Styela clava: one gene and its partners. The protein of the gene in region 1 purifies or fractionates together with the protein of each later gene. This does not show direct contact. Links are inferred from orthologs where the notes say so. Each region holds a gene or a part of one and is shown on either strand. Other genes may lie near its edges.

The links. The genes of interacting proteins can lie anywhere in the genome.
Region 2: the proteins of E3 ubiquitin-protein ligase NRDP1-like (region 1) and protein CLEC16A-like purify together in Homo sapiens (affinity purification with mass spectrometry; 3 studies listed by BioGRID and IntAct, with this or other methods). This does not show direct contact. The link is inferred for Styela clava from reciprocal best matches to the Homo sapiens genes RNF41 and CLEC16A.
Region 3: the proteins of E3 ubiquitin-protein ligase NRDP1-like (region 1) and calcyclin-binding protein-like purify together in Homo sapiens (affinity purification with mass spectrometry; 4 studies listed by BioGRID and IntAct, with this or other methods). This does not show direct contact. The link is inferred for Styela clava from reciprocal best matches to the Homo sapiens genes RNF41 and CACYBP.

Annotation. Positions count from the first base shown.
Region 1 is NC_135254.1:24,427,186-24,433,571, forward strand, and holds E3 ubiquitin-protein ligase NRDP1-like, read right to left. Parts: upstream 1,895-6,386; 5' UTR 1,814-1,894; coding exon 854-1,813; 3' UTR 504-853; downstream 1-503. UniProt on the Homo sapiens protein: Acts as E3 ubiquitin-protein ligase and regulates the degradation of target proteins. Polyubiquitinates MYD88. Negatively regulates MYD88-dependent production of pro-inflammatory cytokines.
Region 2 is NC_135262.1:3,769,994-3,777,961, forward strand, and holds the start of protein CLEC16A-like, read left to right. Parts: upstream 1-4,886; 5' UTR 4,887-4,974; coding exon 4,975-5,045; intron 5,046-7,682; coding exon 7,683-7,811; intron 7,812-7,968. UniProt on the Homo sapiens protein: Regulator of mitophagy through the upstream regulation of the RNF41/NRDP1-PRKN pathway. Mitophagy is a selective form of autophagy necessary for mitochondrial quality control.
Region 3 is NC_135253.1:9,314,104-9,321,061, reverse strand, and holds calcyclin-binding protein-like, read right to left. Parts: upstream 2,354-6,958; 5' UTR 1,769-2,353; coding exon 1,091-1,768; 3' UTR 583-1,090; downstream 1-582. Other genes in the region: tRNA (guanosine(18)-2'-O)-methyltransferase TARBP1-like, read right to left, coding at 1-547. UniProt on the Homo sapiens protein: May be involved in calcium-dependent ubiquitination and subsequent proteasomal degradation of target proteins. Probably serves as a molecular bridge in ubiquitin E3 complexes. Participates in the ubiquitin-mediated degradation of beta-catenin (CTNNB1).

The DNA of each region.
Region 1 (6,386 bases):
AATCAACGGCTGTTGGAATAAAATGAGACTGCCGGTAGCAAAATAGAACTTTTGATATATTTAGCGTTGTTGTTGATTCAGTGCTCATACAATCAATTAATATGATGATATATTTAGCATGCTTAGATGAAAATGATAAGTTGAGACATCCTTTGCGCGTCGAGTACCGTACGGTACGGTGCCTTCCGACATATAAGCACGTTTTCTTGTCACTTTGTTACCATTTGCACAGTAGATATTGTAACCAAACACATTTAATTTAATATATTTATCTTTACTATTGAAGTTGTTAGTATAAACAGCCACCTTTCCATCTCCCATTACAAGAAGAGCCTCCGCACAGTTGCAGGCTAACCCGTTAACCGCCGTCGCATGGCGAGTGGTCCATGGCGAGTTAGCCCTCATGGCGAGTTAGCCTCCACCCGTTCAAAATATAGTACTCCACATCCACACATACCTGTTTTGGTCCACATCGCCCCTGCATAATTTGTAACCGCACACTATAATATAACAACATCGATATATTTTCTTACCACTGACTAAAACGATGCAAAAATTAGAAGTAACAAAGTCAGCGAGACATTAAAGCTAACACGAATCAATCAGTAAATGAATAACATTAATCGTCATTACTATGGCACGGCGTCGTAACGGATGCAAAACGATCAGATGCAACTCTCTGCAACCAAGATAAAAACAACATTATTGTGATCAGAAAAACTACGAGTCGTTTGGGAAAATAAGCAATATGAACTAAATTCATTCCGATAATAATGAAGCTGTGTTTTGGAAATACTATTGATTGCGAAAAACGCTACAAGACCAATGAAAAAAATAATAATAACACATATATTTACGTTACGTCCACAACACCATGGGCAAAAATAATAACAATTCCTGGATGTAAAATCATATCGTCTCCCATATGATTATTTTCACATTGCAAAATCACAATAGCCTGCTTTCCCGGAATTCTTTTTGTGACATAATCCTCGTATTGACGACGGTGGAGTTGTCTAGTTTCTAGAGTGCTCAAGCCAACAGGCCATCTCCTCTCATGTGCATTTTCCATCAAATCATTAACAATGTGTAATGGGCATTGAGTATCAATTAGAGCTCGTTTAATAACTGTTTGTAAAACTACATCTGGAGTAGAAATCACCCCACCCCAGCGGGTGACCCTCGCAAGTGTAAGTGAACTGCCCCACCGTATGACATCATCTTGCTCCATTCGTTGCTGTATGATTTGTAAGCTTGGATTAGTTGGTATTTTCAAGGCTTTAATGTACTCTTTTAAAAGAGATACTTCATGTTTCAGTTCAGATATTTGCTTATTAGCTTCAACCTTATGCAAATTTAGATCATTGATCTCAATTTTTTGTTTGTTGACAAGACAACGCAATTCTCTGATACAATTGTGGTCAGACATTTCGTCTTTTGGAACAACTACGCCACAACCACGAGTACATTGTATAGGTTTTTTTGGATTAAAATCACATTCAGTTTGATGTGACAATAACTGATCAAGACGTACGATTGTGGCACAACCATACTTTCTATTTTCACACATCAGAGTCAGTCGACCTAACATATTCCTCATTATCCTTGGAACAGGTTTCAAATGTTGGGTTTGCAGTTGACTACGATCTACAGGACATGTTTGTTGTCTCTGCAACCAAGCCTCTATACAACATTTGCAGAAACAATGCTCACATTCTTCCACCATCACAGGATCTTCAAGAACGCCACCACATATCACACACATTAACTCTTCATCAACTCTACCACTGAACCTCATCAGATCAAATCCCATTTTGACAGTGCTTTTGTAAAGCAGGCGTTTAAAATAAGTCCATTGTTATATTATATTGATGCTCTGTAGAGGTAAAAAGAAAAATGTAAACAGAAAGGGGATCACTGAGGGAACACATAGATAATACTAAAGATCACATGGAGTTTGACCTATCACTATTGGTTCACTATCACTATTGGTGTTTTTGGATATGCAAAGGATTAAGCATCGGCATCAAAACAAGGTGACGAGCACTTTGGTAGTTGTAGCGAGGTTTCACAGAAGCTCCCATAGAATACTCTCTTCAACCTCACTACAATCTGGTCTAAGCTCGCCATTACATATACCAGCATCTTACTACAGTGGTTTTCAACCTTATTTGTGGAATGGAAGTCAAATAAGACATTCCAGTGGCTCAAAATACCCCTGTGCAATGGCTTATTATTTGTCTTATTATTTATAAGTCATTGCAAATCTATCCAAAATTTGGATACATATGTATACCTCGGTAGTCAACCAACAAATTCGAGCCAAATATGTTGTGGAACTCAAAAGGGGATTTCGGAGCTTACCGCGCATCTCGGCTGACTTTTGACAATTCACCAAGCATCAAGTCAAGTCAGAACGTTAGCACTTGCACTTGAATTATTTTCCCCACCAATTGAGTTATATATTCTTTTGAATTAAATGCCATGGGAGATAATTTGCAAAAAACTAACCAATTTTAAAGAAATTGTACACTATAAGTGTGATTTGTACCAGAGATGTCAGTGGACGGTCAAAATAAATCATAACCACTAACCCAGGGTTCCCCAAACTGGGATCTGCTGGGGGTTCATGATGACTGCACAGGGGATCCGCGACTATATTAAGAGTCTGATCAATCTTCAACCACTGATTTAAAGCCATTGCATATTTTTGTTGGAACGTTGCGCAAGAAATTGCTGCCAGAAAGGGCAATTAGAGAACAAACCTACAGGTTTGAGGCAGCGTTTTCATCTTAACCAATTCGATGACAAAATGCAGGTAGAGACTTGCTGTCGAGTCGGACTTACGTGTGCTTATCATAAATTGCTAAAACAATTGATAAATTGTGCAGTCGGAAGCAATCTCATCCAACACTTTATTATCGTTAGTGTTATTGTGATGTATATGAAACGCTACCATTCCTCGTTGGTTAGGCACAGGAATTGATACGGCATAGAATGGGGGGTCCGTCAAAAATTAGATTCTAAAACAGGGGTCCGCAGCTCAAAAAGTTTGGGAAACAATGCGCTAACCGCTAACCAACTAAAATTGGGTCGTGTTTAAAAAAATCCAGCCGAAGTGTTGTATATGCTGATGGATATTGAGTTGGGATAGATTGTTTTAGTTAGTTTACCACAGTTGTCAGAAATTATTAAAATTAACGATATCATATATAGCTACCTAATTTAGCAAGTATTTCAATAGTCTAATCATTTGGTTTTGGAATCAAGTATGAAATACTTCACAACAGACTTAAGGACATACATTATAATGATACATAAACATCCCCTCAGTATGTCCAGCTGCCTCTCCATATTCTGATATTGGTGTAAACAACATACAGACATAACACAGTAACAGTACTGTGATGCATGCATGCTAGATAATGGGCTTGGATAATGGACTAGGGCTTGTAGCCGATCCTATTATCAAATCGACCAATTTAAATAACTGACAAGTCTTGCATAAGATAAGGGTCTAGTGTAGTTTGATACCACAAGTACTTCTAGTGGGCTTGTCATAACCATTTTCACATATATAATATTCCTAACCAACACCTGACTATGTCATCCAAAAAAATAAGTCACTACTGCACTAAACGCCACGTCATATAGCCCATCAAAGTGTAGCTATGATCACTCAAAATAGCATCTACGTCGAAGATAATAAGCTCATCAATTATTATAGGTTATGGCGCTTCTAATGTGCACCAGACTGGACCAGGGGTGTGCAAACTCTGCGGGCCACAAGGAAAAATGATGCAGTCTGCGAATAAGTGCCAATTTCAAATGGTGTTCGGCCCATCGAGCGAATTTTTAATTTGGTTTAATCTGGTTCTGGTTTGTTATGCTATGAAGTTCATATATTAATATCTATGCTTATGACAGTACAACTGTGCATTGCCAATGCCCTAACCGGTACTGTATACAGGTAGACAATAACAGCTAGCTTGCGCGAAGCAAACAATGAGATTCACGAATGTGTCACCCGATGCAGCGATGAGCAAGCAAGAAATTTAAGTAAAGTACAGAGCACACTCTAATAAATTAGTAAAAACGGGCAACAGGAGTTAAATTCAAATGAGTTTTGGTTTCAGCATTTCAGTCAAATTTGTCTGAATCTAGTCTAAAATTAGACAGATTTGACAGCAAAGTCAGAAAATATTTCCAAATGAATCTTGGCGATTTTTACTGAAAACATCCCAACCAATATAACTTACCACATTCTGCACTTCTGACATTTAAAGAACTCATGGCTTTGAAAACGGCACTATTTCAGTATTTGACTCAACATATTCTGATATTAGTCATCAGATTAGTGTGAACAGTTATTTTCTAAATTGGTTGTCATGAAACCCACCTATTGATCCGTTCTGACGGACTAATACCGGTAGCCTACTTGAAAAACGAACTTGGAACTGCTAGCTTCTAGCCCCTCAAAGCAAATTTAAAAAAAGGATTCCGAAAAGAAACCACTTGCAAATTTCTCACTGAATTTGTTCAGGGAGCCATAGCAATGACATAATCATGTTTTTTGCCTACAACTACTAGAAAGTCTTTGTTAAGTATCTGGCTCTTCTGTATTAAAGGTTGCACACTTCTGTTCTAGACAACACATGCCCACACCGGTACAGACGTAAGCTTGCCTGTAAGCCGAGCCATGATATTAAGGAATTTATGTAAAAAAAACAAGAAACGCGGAAAAATTACAGATGTATATCAGCCGAGCGGCGCACAAACCTAATTACAAACGGAACAACTTTGGGGTCAGATATTAGGTATTTAATTAGTAAAGAAATATTAAAACTATGTACATAATTTATCAAAGCCAGCGATCTTTCTGATATCGCGATCGTCACTTTGGTTACAACGAGAAAAATAGCTTGGCTGTTTCACTAAAGAGAATGATAACGTTTCACCAAGCATCGATTTCCTTGTTTTGGTTTTGTAACAATGACCATGCTGATTAGCAAAAAGTCAACAACGACGTAACAATTGACTTCACTCACTCACCAGACCCGTATGTTAGTCGTTGCACCAGACAGATACCGGATTCAAACATGGTTGTAAACAATGTCTCGTTATCGCGGCTTCGCGTATTATTTGTCAGCTTTCAGTTGTTTCCAAAAAATAGTTGTAAATAAAGTGTTTTCTAATTGTCATTATGTCTTCCGATGAGAGTAGTTCAGTTGAAAAATAAATAAAAAATTAGTCCCAGAAAAACTGAGATAGACCCACAGACTCAAATTAGCTATTAGTAACTGCAAGTGCCACGTTGTTTTTTTATCAAAAGTAATTTTTACATTTTTTTAAATGTAAATCAATTTGTAAGTGTCAATACTCGTAAAATTTGCAACTTGGGATGAAATTTGCAAGTCCCCAATCCCCGAATTGTTCGATATCAATGTAAACTGCGGACAAGTGTTTCCAAACTTTTTCTGGCAAAGCCCCCTCGAATGACTTTTAGACTAACAAACTCCCATCTGAATATAAAGTACAGGTTTATAGAGGACTTGCACGGGTCACGTGACTTTGTTTACTGGACGGCAAAAAAAAAAAAAGTCCATTTGGCTCCTGTCAGTTGCAAGTCGGATTATACGTTTCCGTTTTGTCTGGCTGTTGAAAATGGTTATTTCGTATTTTTCGAAATGGATCTTCAGTTATATTCCACTGTTTTCAAAAGATCCGGAACGTCGCGCAATGTGGATATCATCTATTGGCAGGACTGCTTGGTGTCAAGTCCAGAAGTCATCTCGCTTGTGTTTCACTGTTTGCGGACAAGTCTTCCAGACTTCGTTGATAGTGAGTGATAATGTGCCGTTATCAATTTTCCTTAAGTATATTTATAAACTCCTTCATTTTAATGGAAAGCAGATGACAAACTATATTGGTAGGCCTACCCCTTTATTTGAGAGTTGTGTAACCCAAGCTAATTTGCAAATGGTATTCATGGTACCAAATATATAATTGGTTTTATATGCAGATACTAGGTTGATATTGAGATTGACCATTTCAATGCTAAATTTTCTTTAGTCAAAAGGCACACTTGATTCGCAAAGATTTGTGAATGCGCACAGTACACCAATTTGCAGTGGCGGCGCGTCAATAGGGCCAACCGGGGCAATGCCCCGGTTGTTTTTTCGGTATAATAAAAAATATTCGAAAAATACCTCAATATCGGTTGCACAGACTGTCTACACTAGCCATATTGTCCCGACATGGTTCATTTTTCGCTCGCAAAGCCTTCGCCGAACGTCGACGGGGCGACGCCGATTTTGCCCCGGTTGCTCATTGTATATCGTATTCTCTCTTTTATCTTCCACTCGCCGCGTTTGTCTCGTTTGTTT
Region 2 (7,968 bases), on another chromosome or scaffold:
CAATTCACCTTGGTTGGCTTTTATATTGGGTGGATTGCTGTTTTATTCTTTATATTTAATCTTAGTCTTATTTCGGTGGGTGTGTAGAACGTGTTATATTGATAAAATATATATTTTTAAACATAAAAAATAATGTAATTAAATATGATTAGCTATTTTGGGGATTAGACATTGTAGATACTCAGAATTACATTCAATTTTGGAATGTTTAGTTTTCAGGACTGGTGCATATAGAAAAGTTGCACAATTGCGTACGTCCCCAAGTCATAGACACATTTCTGCCTAAGTCACAGTGCGCCATTATGACGTCACTTAAATGCGTCATACAAATTACCTTAAATCCGGCTACGATCAAAAAATTGAACCATGGCAAATTATTGACTCTCAATGGCATAACAATATCATTAGGAAGTTTTTTACGTTTTTCTCAAAACTGCTAAAAATGACTTACGCGATTCGGTTATTAGCGTGACGATATGCACTCTTCATCACACAATTTGAAATGTAGTGAACCAAATTTTGCATCTATGTGTTATCCGCTGTTGAAGTCATATTTCGTCAAATTCAACGGCGCTCCAGTGTGTGTACCAATATCCAGACTTGAATATCGGTCGGAGACCGAATCCTTATCGATCATCCGCAAAAAAAAACTAATTGATTAATTAATAACTCGCTAATTATAAGGAGAAACAAAAATTATTAATTAAATATTTTATAACTCGCTAATTATACAACATAAGTAATCCAAAATCAATAGGAATCTGGTCCAAGATATGATAAATGCACATGCAAAATTTGGAGCAGATTCAACCTTCTTTCGTGAGATATTGCGTGACATACGAAAGTGTCTAACATGCAGACAAATACCTATCAACATACTTACCGATCAAGATCGATAAGTAATACCTATACCTAATTTTGTTTGTCTACTTTACATCAAGTTGTGTAAAGGGACGGAAGCCTATGGGCAGAGGGTATACTTGCTTGGCTAACACAGACAGTCCCGAACTCGTAATTGAATTGAGAACGGAATAAAATTATTATCCTAACCTTGTACACAAACTACGGGGTTACTAATTTTACATAGATGGCAAACATGGATTTTCACAATTTTCAAACTACAACAACATGTCTTTCCGATCAAGAAGGAATAAATTTTATTATTAAAAAATACAATAGTAAATATGTAGTACATCATACCATTAGGGTTGTTTGGAACACAAATTTGCATTAATATGCAATCCGTTACTGGAAAATCCCAACTTGGCAAAATCTTCAACCTATGCTACTTGGTTGATGCCAAATTCGGGTCTCAGAATAGACCACTTGTAAATTTGAACATTTCAAAATTTCCCCCGAATCAAGAATCTAACATTCGTAACAATTCCAAATTTATATGATAAAAGCTCATTCGATTCATCAATAAGATTCATTCTATCTTATTTGCAAACTGACCGTGTTAAGTCTGGTTCACAATTTCTAAAGTTATAAAACACCTCCAAAAAGTGTTGAAATTGGTGTGGCGATGCTCGTTTGAAGATACTCCCGCAGACATTAAATATTACACGCTGTAAATTGCGCGTACGATGCATCTCTCTACAGTCTTTCACGCCAATACGGAGCAAATCAATGTCAAGTGGGTCGTCTACAGAAATTTCTGTGGTTCTCCCTGACTAATACGGACAGTTCAACTTGGGAAGGAATACGTAATTTAACGATAACCCAAATTGATCTCTGTCATCTCGATATAGATGAGGGGTTCTCAACCTTTTTTTCTGTCAAGTACCCCCCCCCCCCCTTTTTGACCATATGTAACTAAATTGAATCCTCTTGTTGATATTATTGCCCTTTTCGTCTGCCTCACTTATGAGTTCTTGAAACCTCTCCCAAGTTACAATAAGCATAATCACCTGTCCAATGCTCGCAGCACGCTGTCTTTAGAGATTTCACAGTTTGTACACAAAGCCTTAAATTTCACATTGTTGCGTCATAATCACAACAACGCAAAATCAGGGCAAATCTACGTTTCAATTGGCGTCTAGTTTCAATGGGCACGAGTTTTCCCATAGTAGTAATGAAGGATATTAAAAAACAGCAACATACAAAAACTCGACTGTCATCCACGTACCCCCGTAAATCTTCTCGTGAACCCCTGGGGGTTCGCGAAACCCAGGTTGAAAACCCTCTGATATAGATACTGTCAAATTCGAAAATAAAAAAAACAAAAACATTTTTTATGAAAAAATATTTATTTCTTTCCACAAAACAAAATAGACAACATTGCATATTTCAACAATCAAAACTAATTTGTATAAAAAAATAGTTTTCCTATAAAATTTGTCTGAATATTCTACCGAGCTTTCAAGTGGACCCAAGAGATGTCGGTTAACCCACTCGTTAGGACTTGTAGATGGGGTCCTATCGCGCTCCAGAAAAGTCTGAAACGCCCTATACCCATTCTTTAGAGCCAAACAAATACAACTATTTCAGGGAATTTGGCATGTTACATGTGAAAATCCTGTTTAATTGCTCAGACCGATATTAACAATTGATAAAGACTCGATTTAGCGCAGAACTGGCCCAAACTGAAGTTGCGACACCGCAGGTGAGACGCAGCAACGAAGTTTTTGGGTTGCACAGAATACTCGAATTTTACACACAGAGTACTACCGGAATATCTAATGTAAATTTTATACTTTTGATTCAAAACACAACTATTAAAACTAATGAAACGTATAAATTCCACTGTTTTAAAACATTGCATAGAATCAGAGAAGCGCTGGGCTTGGATCGAACTGTAAAAGTTTTGGAAGCCAAGATTTAGCCAACTTTTAAATCAGTGATTCGTAATCTTTTCGAGCCATCAGAAAACCCTTTTATTACTCAGAGAATTTTGTCAAACATCAAAGTTTTGAACGGTTGAAACCAGAGGTGCAACCAGAACCTCGTAGGGGGAGTGAATTTTGTGCAAGGTATAGAACAGGGGTGGGTACCTTTTTCGGCTTGCGTGCCAAAATCGGCTAAATTTTTTTACAAATTTTTTTGCGTGCCGACAAAAATTAAAAACAATGCTTTGCTACTTCAAAGCAAAAATACACAATAATAACCCTTTTAAACATGTACAGACAGATTCGCTATTCGGAAAAATATCAGTCCGACAAATACATGTGATTACTTTTCTTATTCTATATATATCAGTCAGACTTCTACTGCTGCATTACCGCTGATAGAAATTGGACATTGGGTTTATATTTTGTAACTTTCAAAGAAATACACGACATACTGGTTTCATGTTTTAGGCTACTTCTTTTACGAGACTAAATAAAGTTCATATCTGAGAACAGAGATCCACAATGTAGAATAAAACACGGACAGTAATTTATTTTAAAGTTTTTCCCTACGGTGGGATTTTTTTATTTTTTGATATTTGTAAGATAATTTACTATATATTATAATACATTAATTTTATGGTGAACAAGTTATTAGAATATTGCATTTCGACGTAAAAAACCGTTGTCGGGAAATACGGATATCGTTGGACATAGGTAGATTCCGGTTTTATTTAAAAGTCTTTTCCTACGGTTGAATTTTTTTATTTTTCAATATTTGTAAAATAATTCACTATATATTATAATACATTTATTTTATGGTGAACAAATTCTTAGACATCAAACACCGTTGTCGGGAAATACGGATATCGTTAGACATATGTAGGATTCCGGTTTTATTATAAACTCTTTCCCTACGGTAAAATTATTTTATTTTCTGATATTTGTAAGATAATTTACTATATAATATAATACATTAATTTTATGGTAAACAAATCATTAGAATATTTTCAATTGAATGTTGTATTTCGACACAAAACACCGTTGTCGGGAAATATGGATATCGTTAGACATAGGTAGATTCTGGTTTCGTTTTAAAGTCTTTCCCTACGGTAGAATTTTTTCATTTTTTGATAATTTTTAGAAGAAGAACTATGTAATATGATTATTCAATTTAACATCATTACCGCGAAATATTGATATCGGTCGAGTGTGCTAATTTTGACTTTAAATTGAAAGTCCCTCTCTACGGTAGAATTTTTTAAAATTTATATAATCATATACTGTATAATATGATCATTTAATTCCGTGATAAACAACTCGTTGAATTCTTTTTGATAAACTGTTGAATTTCAACATCAGAAGCCATCGAGATACAATGTGTGTATCTGCTGGTGTAATGCTTTCTGCTGGTGTAATGCTTTTATAATGTTTATTTTTTTATTTTACAAGATGTATTTGTGCAAATCAGGTATGGTTTATTCATAACAACATTTTTATTCATAAAAAGAACAAGCACTTAGCTTAGTTTTTAATTTTCTTGTTTTTTTATATCCGACGGTAAATTTCAGCTTGTTTACCGTCATATCTGGCAACTCTGGTTAGAGATATTATTGTTCGTTCAGTTGATTTTGATTCATTTTCCCGGCAATTGTAGCCATTTTGTGCTATCAGTTGGCCGACTCTGAGAGGTTCTGGTGCTGATTTAAATGTGGATATGTGTAATTTAGTACCGTAATCTGTGAGCGTTTAGGATGCCTTAACTTGCCGTATAACACTGTCAGAACGCCAGCCCACACTCGTTTTTGTCAGGCCATAAGGGTTAACTGGGCCGTGCTTGGTATTACAGTATTAGCGTTGTATATATCAGATACCGGTATGGTCTCTTTATTGTCAGAGCCAAGTTTTTATGTAATAACGTTTATAAAGCCAGTAAAATAGTTAGTTGACCCGTTGATAATTTCTTTGAAACATTTCATTATTTCGCTCTTTTTGCTTCTAAAAATTGAGCTTCGGCAATTTATATTTCAGTATTTGCTCGTAGTTTTTACTCCTTATTTTGAATTGCATTTAGGTTATGCTATTATTCAGTAACAGTTCAGTTTAACATTAATTCTTCATCGGATCTGCTGGTCAACCCACCACTATGTCCATGCGTCGTGGATGGCTGGGGGCACCGAAACCTCCAAAGAATCCGCACTCTTTGGAACACCTTAAGTATGATTTTTAAAAACCTTGTAGTTTCATTGTTTGCGTATGTTTCACCGAAAAAAAAACAAAAAATGTTCTTATGCTCTAACTGCAGAACTGCCTGATGTAAGTTATCTAACATAGCTACCGTCCTACTGTAGCATATTTCTAACCCTTAGCATAATGCACCACAATGTACAAACGTATGTCTGAATGTGTCTTTTTTGGCCTATTGCGGCCATCATCATTATTTAAACAAACTCTTTAAACAAAATTAGAAATGCTTAAAACTGTGTCCTTAATTCATGGTAATCAAATGATGAATTGTAAATTGATGTTATGAAAAACTTCGTTCAAGATCTCTCACTAAAAAAGTAATTGTAAGGACAGAGTTTTGCTCAAGTGACGGCCAACGCAATTTACGATGGATCATATTATTTAGACAAACATGTTTATATTGCTCACCATTATGCGTCGAATAAACTTACATACATACAAGTTTACTCATATGCCGTCATGCCAGACACACTCATTACCAAATGTGTTTGTTTTATATATCTAAATATTGGGACATTCTTGGTATTTAGATCTGTACCACCGTGTTTCCCCGAAAATAAGACTAGAGCTCGACCGATATCACTTTTTGGCACCGATACCGATAACGATATATCGGCCAACTGGTGACCGATAACCGATATGGACATACCGATATCTACAACCTGAACTAGCAGTAAATACAAATAGAAAGAAACATTTCGTTTCAGTCAATTAAAAGTTTATGTTGAAAAATAAAGCAGTCCTACACAGTGCTTGCATCATTAATAAAAGTTTCACAGCAAATAAGAACACACATTAATGCACACCAGAAAAAAGGCAGTCAGTAAAAAGCTTATAGAAGTCCATTTTGATCCATACAGTAGTAGGTGGGAGTAGGCTTGCACGTAATTTACGGAATTATTTCGAGTTACGGAAGGGAAGTTACAAATTACGTAAAGTCGTAATTATTGGTCGAGCGCTTTCGCGTTTGAAACGTGCTCCTTACAAGCAATCAATTCCGTCGATTGTAAAAAATGAAAGTTTAACAAGTAGAAGAAATTAGAGTTCCGGTATTCGCAGCCGTTTTGAGCCGGCATGACGCGTTGCCACCCCGTTTGAGCGTTTGATTTCACGGTCAAAACGATATTATTATAAGCGTTATCACCGTAACGCAATTAATACCGACAGACTTTTTTGTCTTTATGATTTGGTATCTTTTTTATTTGGCGCTGATATTGAAAAATAAGAATGTGTGATAGTTGATTGTAATTCCGGAAGGCGTATTTTTCTTTCTCTCCTTGAAACAGACATGAGACGAATTTTACCGCCGCTATAAGCGCTCAAAAGGAGAGAAGGCTAGGCTACTTTCTTTTCCCGACTCAATCACTTTTATTAATACAAATCACAGCGCATTAAAAAACAAAATAGAATTTATTAGCATTAATTTACAACGAGTTGCGGGTAAGAATTTATCGCCGGCTAAATAATTAATATTTGATCTAAATTTATCGCAAATAATCTTAAAACATTTAGGCCGCGAAATGATTTGATATAAAATGAAGCTTGGTAATCGGAATATCGTCAATAATTCAGCATCAATAATTATTTTAAAATGCTAACTAGGTAGCAAAGTCGGATAATGTAAAAAAAAGGAGCAATAACAAGTCTTCGTCGCGAGGCAGGCGCAGGTATAATCAAATGAGAGAATACGCTTGTCGTTGATTAATATCCTAAAAACCCGAAATTTTTATTCAATACGAAAGTCGATTTTGAAGAAAGGCCACTATCGTTTCATATATATCCGTATACCAGTTTCGGTAAATACGGTAATGATAAAATTGATCGCATGAAATTGGGACGGTTAATTTGCGAAGGTGATAAAGGAAAATCAAAGCCAACACAATAAAACAAGATAAAAATCAGAATAAATTTAATTTGAATTCACTCCTTGGTATTTGTCTTTAACATCTGTCGCCGGCGTGTAGTACTGTCGGTAATATGAAAACCAAACTTCAATGTCCCATTCGGAAAAGAAGTGGATTCAAATGGTTTTTATGATAGGTTTAAACGTGTGAAAAATATCGCAATTACGGGGTCATTACGTAATCGATTTTGCCGTAATTACGGAATTGATTTTTGTCGATTACGTGCAAGCCTAGACTGGGGACGCAAGATATTCGAAGGCGAGGATTTTGCGCCGCTCGAAGAGATAAAAGAGAGAGAAATATAGAAGAGAACTCTCTGTTTATTGAAAGGCAAAATGAGAGAAGCGAAAAAGAGAAAACGCTCGGCCGCAGATATTTCCCGGAGAAAAATACTCATTTTTTAGGACGTGGAAAAGCGACTAGCGCTGATATATATCGGCAAGATATATCGGCCGAGTGGGCCGATATGATATATCGGCAAACACGCAATATCGGCCCGATATATCGGTTGGCCGATATATCGGTCGAGCTCTAAATAAGACCTACCCTTAATTTCAAAAATGATTTTAATATAACTCCGCTCCTTCAAATAAGACTTAAAATTGTTTCATTCTCGGGGAAACACGGTATATTATATAAGTGAATCAGCCAATTTGTGTCTTGAATATAAAATCAAAAGATGGAAGTTTTTTTTCACTTTCAGATATCTTCATCATATTTTGACGAAGAATTCCACTGTTACTGAAGGCAACAAGGCACTTATTGTCGAAGCATTACGTTCAATGTCCGAAATATTAATTTGGGGAGATCAAAATGATAGTTCTGTTTTTGAGTAAGTTTTTTGTTTCAGAAATTTGTAATAAGGGAATCAATTGCAGCAAATGCAACTGAGTTATTTTTTCGCATTTGTGCTGAACGTGTACTCATATATTCGGGTATATCAGGTAATAGTGACCACAATTTCCACGAGAAGTCAGGACTCGGGAGTT
Region 3 (6,958 bases), on another chromosome or scaffold:
AATTCTCATCACATGTGATAAAAATATCACATAATTTATTAAACAGTACTTTTTTCAGATCAGCAATGATAATTTCATTATTCGTAAGTAAGCCTTCAAAAATACTGAAAATGTTTTTCGTTTTGAAGTTTGATTCTTTTTCCTCCACAGCAGTAGCGAAGATGTTTTCTAAGATGGTGCAGCATCTTTTTTGATATTCTTCATTAAATATTTGCACACATATGATAAAAAAATGTTCTAGACATTCAGATGTATCCATTCCATCTTGTGTATATTTTTCTATTGCAGTTTTCCACAAATCAAATAGAGTATTCTGTTGTAAGCGAAGGTGATCATAGGCTGGATCGGCTTCTGCGTTATCCTTGTAATTATATTCCAATAATGCAGTTAAAACTTGCAGTTTCTCCAAATATTTCTCCTCAAATCTGAATTGGTCTTGTTTCAATAATCTATTCAAACTATCTGAAAGGTCCAATGTGATTTTTTCCACTGACAAATCTGATACAGCACTCAGCAAAGGAAGTATATTCCGAATTGAATTCGACATTTTATACAATTCTAGTTATCAACAACTCTGAGTACCTAATAAAATTCAAAATTAAGAAACTCAATGAGAATGATAGTGGGTAATTCAAGTGGTATTTGTACTGTATAACATGAACACAAATGGTGGAAATTAAAATTAAGGGAACGCAAAAATGTATTTTCAAGCAACATATAGCCAAAAGTTATCCTCGAACCTAAGCCAGGGCCACATCAACCTATTTGCATGCAAATAACAGAACAACAAAAACGCCAAAAGATGCCAAGGTATCAGTAAATATCAATCAGTATTATAGCACAATAAATAAACAATAGTTACAGCCAAATATACAAGTTGAATTTCCATATATTTGAAACATAATTATTATATAGAATATCCACAATATCTATGTCAAATGCCTATTTGTTACGATATTAAAATCTAATCACTGAATGTATGAAAATTAGTCGTGACAAATGAAACAGTACACAAATGCGTTATCCTAGTGAATTTCTCGGGCTATTTCAAGACAATCTATCAAGAAAATTTTTAAAATCAACAATATGTTCACTTTCCAAACCCTGGAATTTGGTTATCTCTTGATTCTGTCCAAGCCTTCGCCATTGTTCGTTTGAAGTCATCGTCTCCTTCGTCGTACATTTTTTTCATCATATCCATAATTCCTTTTCCTGGATCTTGGTCTTTATCAAAACTTGATGGTGGTTTTACTTTTTCCTCTATTTCTTTTTTCTCTTTTTCTGACAAAGTATCCCATTTTGTGGGATTAGTCTTTTTTAACATTATCACAACTTCATCCTTCTTTATTCTGACACTTTCATTTTCAACACCGTGGAGCAATTTCGGCAAAGTGAGTTGATGATTTGCATTGTTTAAATTTTTTATCATAAGCATATGATGATGGCCGTCGTAAATTATGGTCACATTTTCTTTTGGTATATCCTGTACTCCCTTCAATCCAGATACGTAAATTTTTATGAACTTTTCTGATTGATCCCAACCATAAGTAGTGATCTTCTTGGTGAAAAGCTTAGGTTTTGTGGATGAATTAGATTGTCGTTGGACGTCTTCGGTATTGCTACCCTGCTTCATTATTTTTTCCAGTTCTTGTTCCATTTCGGATTTCCATATTGCAAGTTTTCCTTTTATTGTCTCTCTCTGTGCGATAGACTGAAGCCGGATAACATCCTCCAGGTCTAGTTTCAGTTCATTTAGGCGAGCCTCCATTTCCCTACGATTATATACATACAGTCAAAATATATATTACGAGTTGGGACAGTTACAACCCGCGCAAGTGCGAAAGCGTACAATGTAGTCAAACACACGTGCGATGTACGGGGAATTCCCTGATCGCTCTTTCGGTCAATATACCGTATTTGCTCATTTTGTACCCCGTGCCCATATGTTTCAACCAACTCACTAACCGGGCCCTCATTCAAGCACGGGCGCTTGTTATTTTCGATCGTTACAAATAACTAATATATTATTATTTCCAGTTTTCAAGTATGATTTAAACAAGAATAACGAAAATTTTGACTTTTTCTACGCACCGCAGGTACAAATCCGCAAAAGAAGAAAAGTTTTGCCACGCCCTATCAATATTGAAACGACGCACTTGTCGCGACGCCCAGTTTGAGAACCATAGTGTTACGTAACCAATGCTATCTGTTATGTACTTGGACGCCTAAGGCGTGAGTGTTATCTACCGGCGCTTAAAATCCAACAGTGTTGAGACAAAAGCGCTTCTTATTTCCTATTGTTCTCTACTACTGAAAATTCAGCTTCGGCCCTTCAAGCACCCGCCCTTATTTATTTTTATGTTCTGTTCACACGGGTGGCTTTTCAAAAGGGCCCTTAATCAAGATCGGGCGGTAAAACGAGCATATACGGTAATCGCAGGAACTACGATTTAATATACTGTGGTTTTTGCAGTCGATACAAAAATCTGTGCAATTTAGATAAAAATAAGATAGATAAGTTTATTTCGACTCCATAATCAGCATAAACGGTTGATAAAAACAAATAAATAAAAATTGATTATGAAATTTAGAGAGTTGTTTTTAGCACACGTGCATAAATTATTTTGACGCCTATTTTTTTCACACTTTGCCCAACCCAAGAACTGATTTGGGGACTGGAAGTTGATCCATCAATTTAACCCACAAAACACAACCATCAAGAACCCATCCATGGCCAATAACTAGGTGGGAGAATGAGTGGCCTTGGTTCTAGGCAACCTTGATGAAGTCTTGCCTGGTAATTTGCCCCCAGAACATGCTTCTTCACTGAATCATTGCTGGGTGGAAGAGTATAATCTATATTCTATATGTTTGCTAGTTTTGAAAAGACGTGTATCATTTACATTTTTTATATCCTCTCCATACACTGAACAAACAAATTCCTCAGTTTTATTTATTAATGCTTCGTTAATCTCAAAATATCGTCATAGTTGAAAAAATATATGATAGGATAAGTTTATTTCGACTCCATAATCAGGATAAAGGCGATGAAACGGTAGATAAAAACAAATAAATAAAAACTGATTATGAAATCAGGAAAGTAAACAAAATCTTGGATAAATGAATTGAAAAACTCAATGGTCCGGTTACCATTCCAAATCGGGTATGGGATTTGTTATATTGTTTGTTTTCGGAAGCATGGACTCGGTGGTGGAAGAAGCCGTAACCGAGCAGCGGTTACGTGAACCACCCAACGACGGCGAGGAGTCCAGCAATCCCTGCATGGGATTCGAACCTGCTAACCCACACAGAGTAATTAGAGGTGCGGTGGCGAGCGTAATCCTAACGCTTAGCCCGTTAAGCCACACCGCCGCGCCAAATCCGCTCATTGTGGCAAATAAATTAGCACTACTTAAACGGCAAACTCCTAATACGGAATAAATTGTAAACAGCCGACTGACTGGCAATGATTCGAAATAATAAACGAACAAAAACGAGAGAAAAAGAAAAGGCCGATAACAGACTTAGTTTACGCCGACATGCCCATTCCTGCCCACGAACAGATGGTGAAATCGCCTTGAAAGGAGTAATTGGACACGTAGTGGACATAACGATCGTTTCAATATTATGTTGTTGTTGTTGTTCTTGTTTTTTGACACGTTTTTAAAAAGTCGCTTTTTTCCTCGAATACTGGACCAATTGCTTTGAAATTTTCAGTGGTTGAAGATAAAAATTTTCTCCAGAAGGCTATTACTTTTTTTTTCTCGCTATGACGTCATCAAAATTATGTGACTCCACGTGTCCATATATTTGAGCATAGCTCTCTTGTTTCATAAACGGTCATTCGACAAAGTGCAATGACCGATATATCTCGAGATAACCCCGGGTCAAATATATATGAAGTAAAACAAAGAAACTTCGTCTGTAACAAAGTTATTTGCAACTGTTATCTTCTCATATACCTTTACGCTTTTCTTCAAGACCTTTTGTTCGATCCATTTTATTCTCACAGGTAGGCCTATAGCGCTAATAGAAGCAGGGATTAGACATTTGCCGGGGAACATTGCCGTTTTCTTTTGTAGTAAAGTATCTAAAATAGGGAAGAAAATCATTTTTGGAACAGCATGAGTGTAAAATACCAATAAATACTGACTAATACTTCTCATACATAGTGCATTTTATCTGATGTACTACAGTCCAGCAGCGTTTGCATACTGGACTATATCTACACTGAATCTCGATATATCACAGTCTGAAATGCCCTATGGCCTATAGAGTAGATTATATTTTAAAACATCAATTGTCGGTCTATAATTTGATTTCTCACCTCTCATTCGCTTCCAATGCTACCTTTCTTTCTCCGGCATAACTTATCATTACTTCCCAATCCCAGGTTCTTGTCGACTCTGTGGATTTAGACCAACTGACATCAGTAGAATTGATTATTACACCTCTTTCACACAAACGTACACTACAGAAACAGCCATTATTTTCTGAATCAAATATTCCGTAGCCTATATAGTAGTATAAGTCTGCTGAATAGTCAAGAAACGTTATTAAATTTATCATAAACCTTTCATACAAGCATGAAAATATCGTTGTTTGTGACATATTGTAGGCATAGCTTATCTTGGGAGTTATCGTACCGTACCTATTTAACAACGTTTATGAGCTAGTGCTCAACTAAAATTGCTATTTATGGTAAGGATAGGCCTATACAAATGTTTAATAGCTTATTAGACTTTTTAACATCTTCTTAGAATAACTCAACTAATATTAACTGGAAATAACAATGGAAAGGCTGCCCAACTCAACAGCGAGCAGCACATCTGATATTTATCCGACGGGGATCCACCTACAGCTGACCAATTTTAATTGTTACGTCATGCAGAAGTCTGCGTTCATTGGCCCATGATACCAGAAAAGCAGAGAATACCGTATATGACAGATGGTAACACATATTTATTGAAGTAAAAGCGTCTTTTCCGTAAAACGTGCAACTCTTGGAAATGGGAAGTCATTATTTGTTACTAAATTTCTAAGGAACATTTTAAAATCTTTTTCAGGAAGTTCCTTATGTGCGCTACGAAACTGAAAGATAAACGGCCTCGTCTCGCGGCCTAATAGCGTCTCATCGTGGTTAGCTGTGTTTGGGTTAAATAAATTGGCAGTTACTAATTTTAAAAATCTCAAAGATGATTCAAAACACAGTGCGTTTTAAATATTTGCAGTATTAGTATTTATTCGGGGTTCCTATTAGGCCGCGATCGCAAACGCCAGTCGTCACGTTCTGGGGTGAAATCTGGGGTAAATATACATGCGCCAGTTTACCCACATTGAACACACGAACATATATTCAAAAGAAGAGAGCTGTGCTCAAAAATATGGACATGTCACAAGGTGTCGCTTTTTTTATTCTGACACATAAAAAACAAATCTCTTGAAGTCCGCAGAAATTTTTGAATTAAGTAAAAGTGATAGCCTTCCGACAAAAAAATCAATCTTTAACCACTGAAAATTTCAATGCAATTGGTCCTGTATTCGAAGAGAAAAGCGATTTCATCATGACGAAAGAAAAGAAAACTACAAATAAGAACAACAACATAATATTAAAACGATCGTTATGTACACAAAAGTGTCAAAAAAAAAAAAAAGACAAAAACATAAAACGCTATCGTTCGGGCGCCAAACTAGTGTAACATAAACACTCGGTGGGCCCTAACTAATAAATACACTTTGACAGGTTGGAATGCATGGCTATGGTATGTGTATCACAACAGTGCTTTTCCCAAAAGAATATGAAAAAAAAACACTCGTTGACGTATGGTTTGAACATTTGACTGATTTATCTTGGTACTACTTACTTTTGGTGTGTTAACGTATGGTTCACTGCATCGCGATTATTGGCTGATTAATTGATTACTTCTTGTTATGGTTAACTGTTTAGGGCTTTAGTCTGTCTTTAGATTTATTCTCAAAAGCTTGTTAATGGTACTATAGTCATTGGGTATGAATAATCTATTTCTTAAGTTTCTTACATTGGGATAATCTGTTCTGACAAAGCCTCATTTAAATGTAAGTGAATTGGTATATTCTTGCTTTGTATTGTGCCGGGTTGCCTGTACTCATTTTAATATAAATCTTTGTTTGTCAGGTCACTTTGTCTTACTGATATCTGGATTAAATCACTTTGGGAGAAATATATTCGTTTCATTTCGGGATATTAGTTAAAGAAACATAGTAGGCAAGGGTGATTTGTCAATGGGCAGAAATCCAAACTAGTGACATTTAAAGATATTGCACCTACACCTACAAACTGGAGTCTGAATCAAGCAGTTCTTTTTCAACCTTCCGAGGATTCAGCAATACATCAAAGCAAGAATGCCAACTAACAATGGCAGAATATTTTCAAGGTCAGAATTTCAAATAACTCAAGAGTAAGTTTCCGGTACTCAAAGTAAAATTGGAAAGAATTTTAACACCATTGAGCACTCTCTGGAAAGAAGAGATTTTAAAAAGGTCAAAATACTGTTTCATGATGCTAACGATAAAATAGCATTTTTGGTCTGTCTAATTGATACTTTGGAATTGGCTCTAATTGAAGAAGACAGTACTACACAAAGTGAGGAAAAACCCGGTATATCCAAATTTAGTGAAGAAATTTTAAGTGTGGAAAACAAGATTGCAATCGATTTTGAGAAATATGAAGACAAACTAGATATAAAGCCGGTGATATCATCTCTTGTAATCACTCAAAACAATTATAATAATGATCCTCATATGATTAAGTTATGTGGTATGGATCCGCCATGCTGGAACGGACAAAAAGTAGACTTTTATACCTGGAAAGAACGTTTTACACATATAATGCACCATGCTAGAATTACGGATGATTTAGTGCAAATTTCATGGCTTTTACGCAATGGTGCAATGCCAAACGATTATCAAACAATGATAT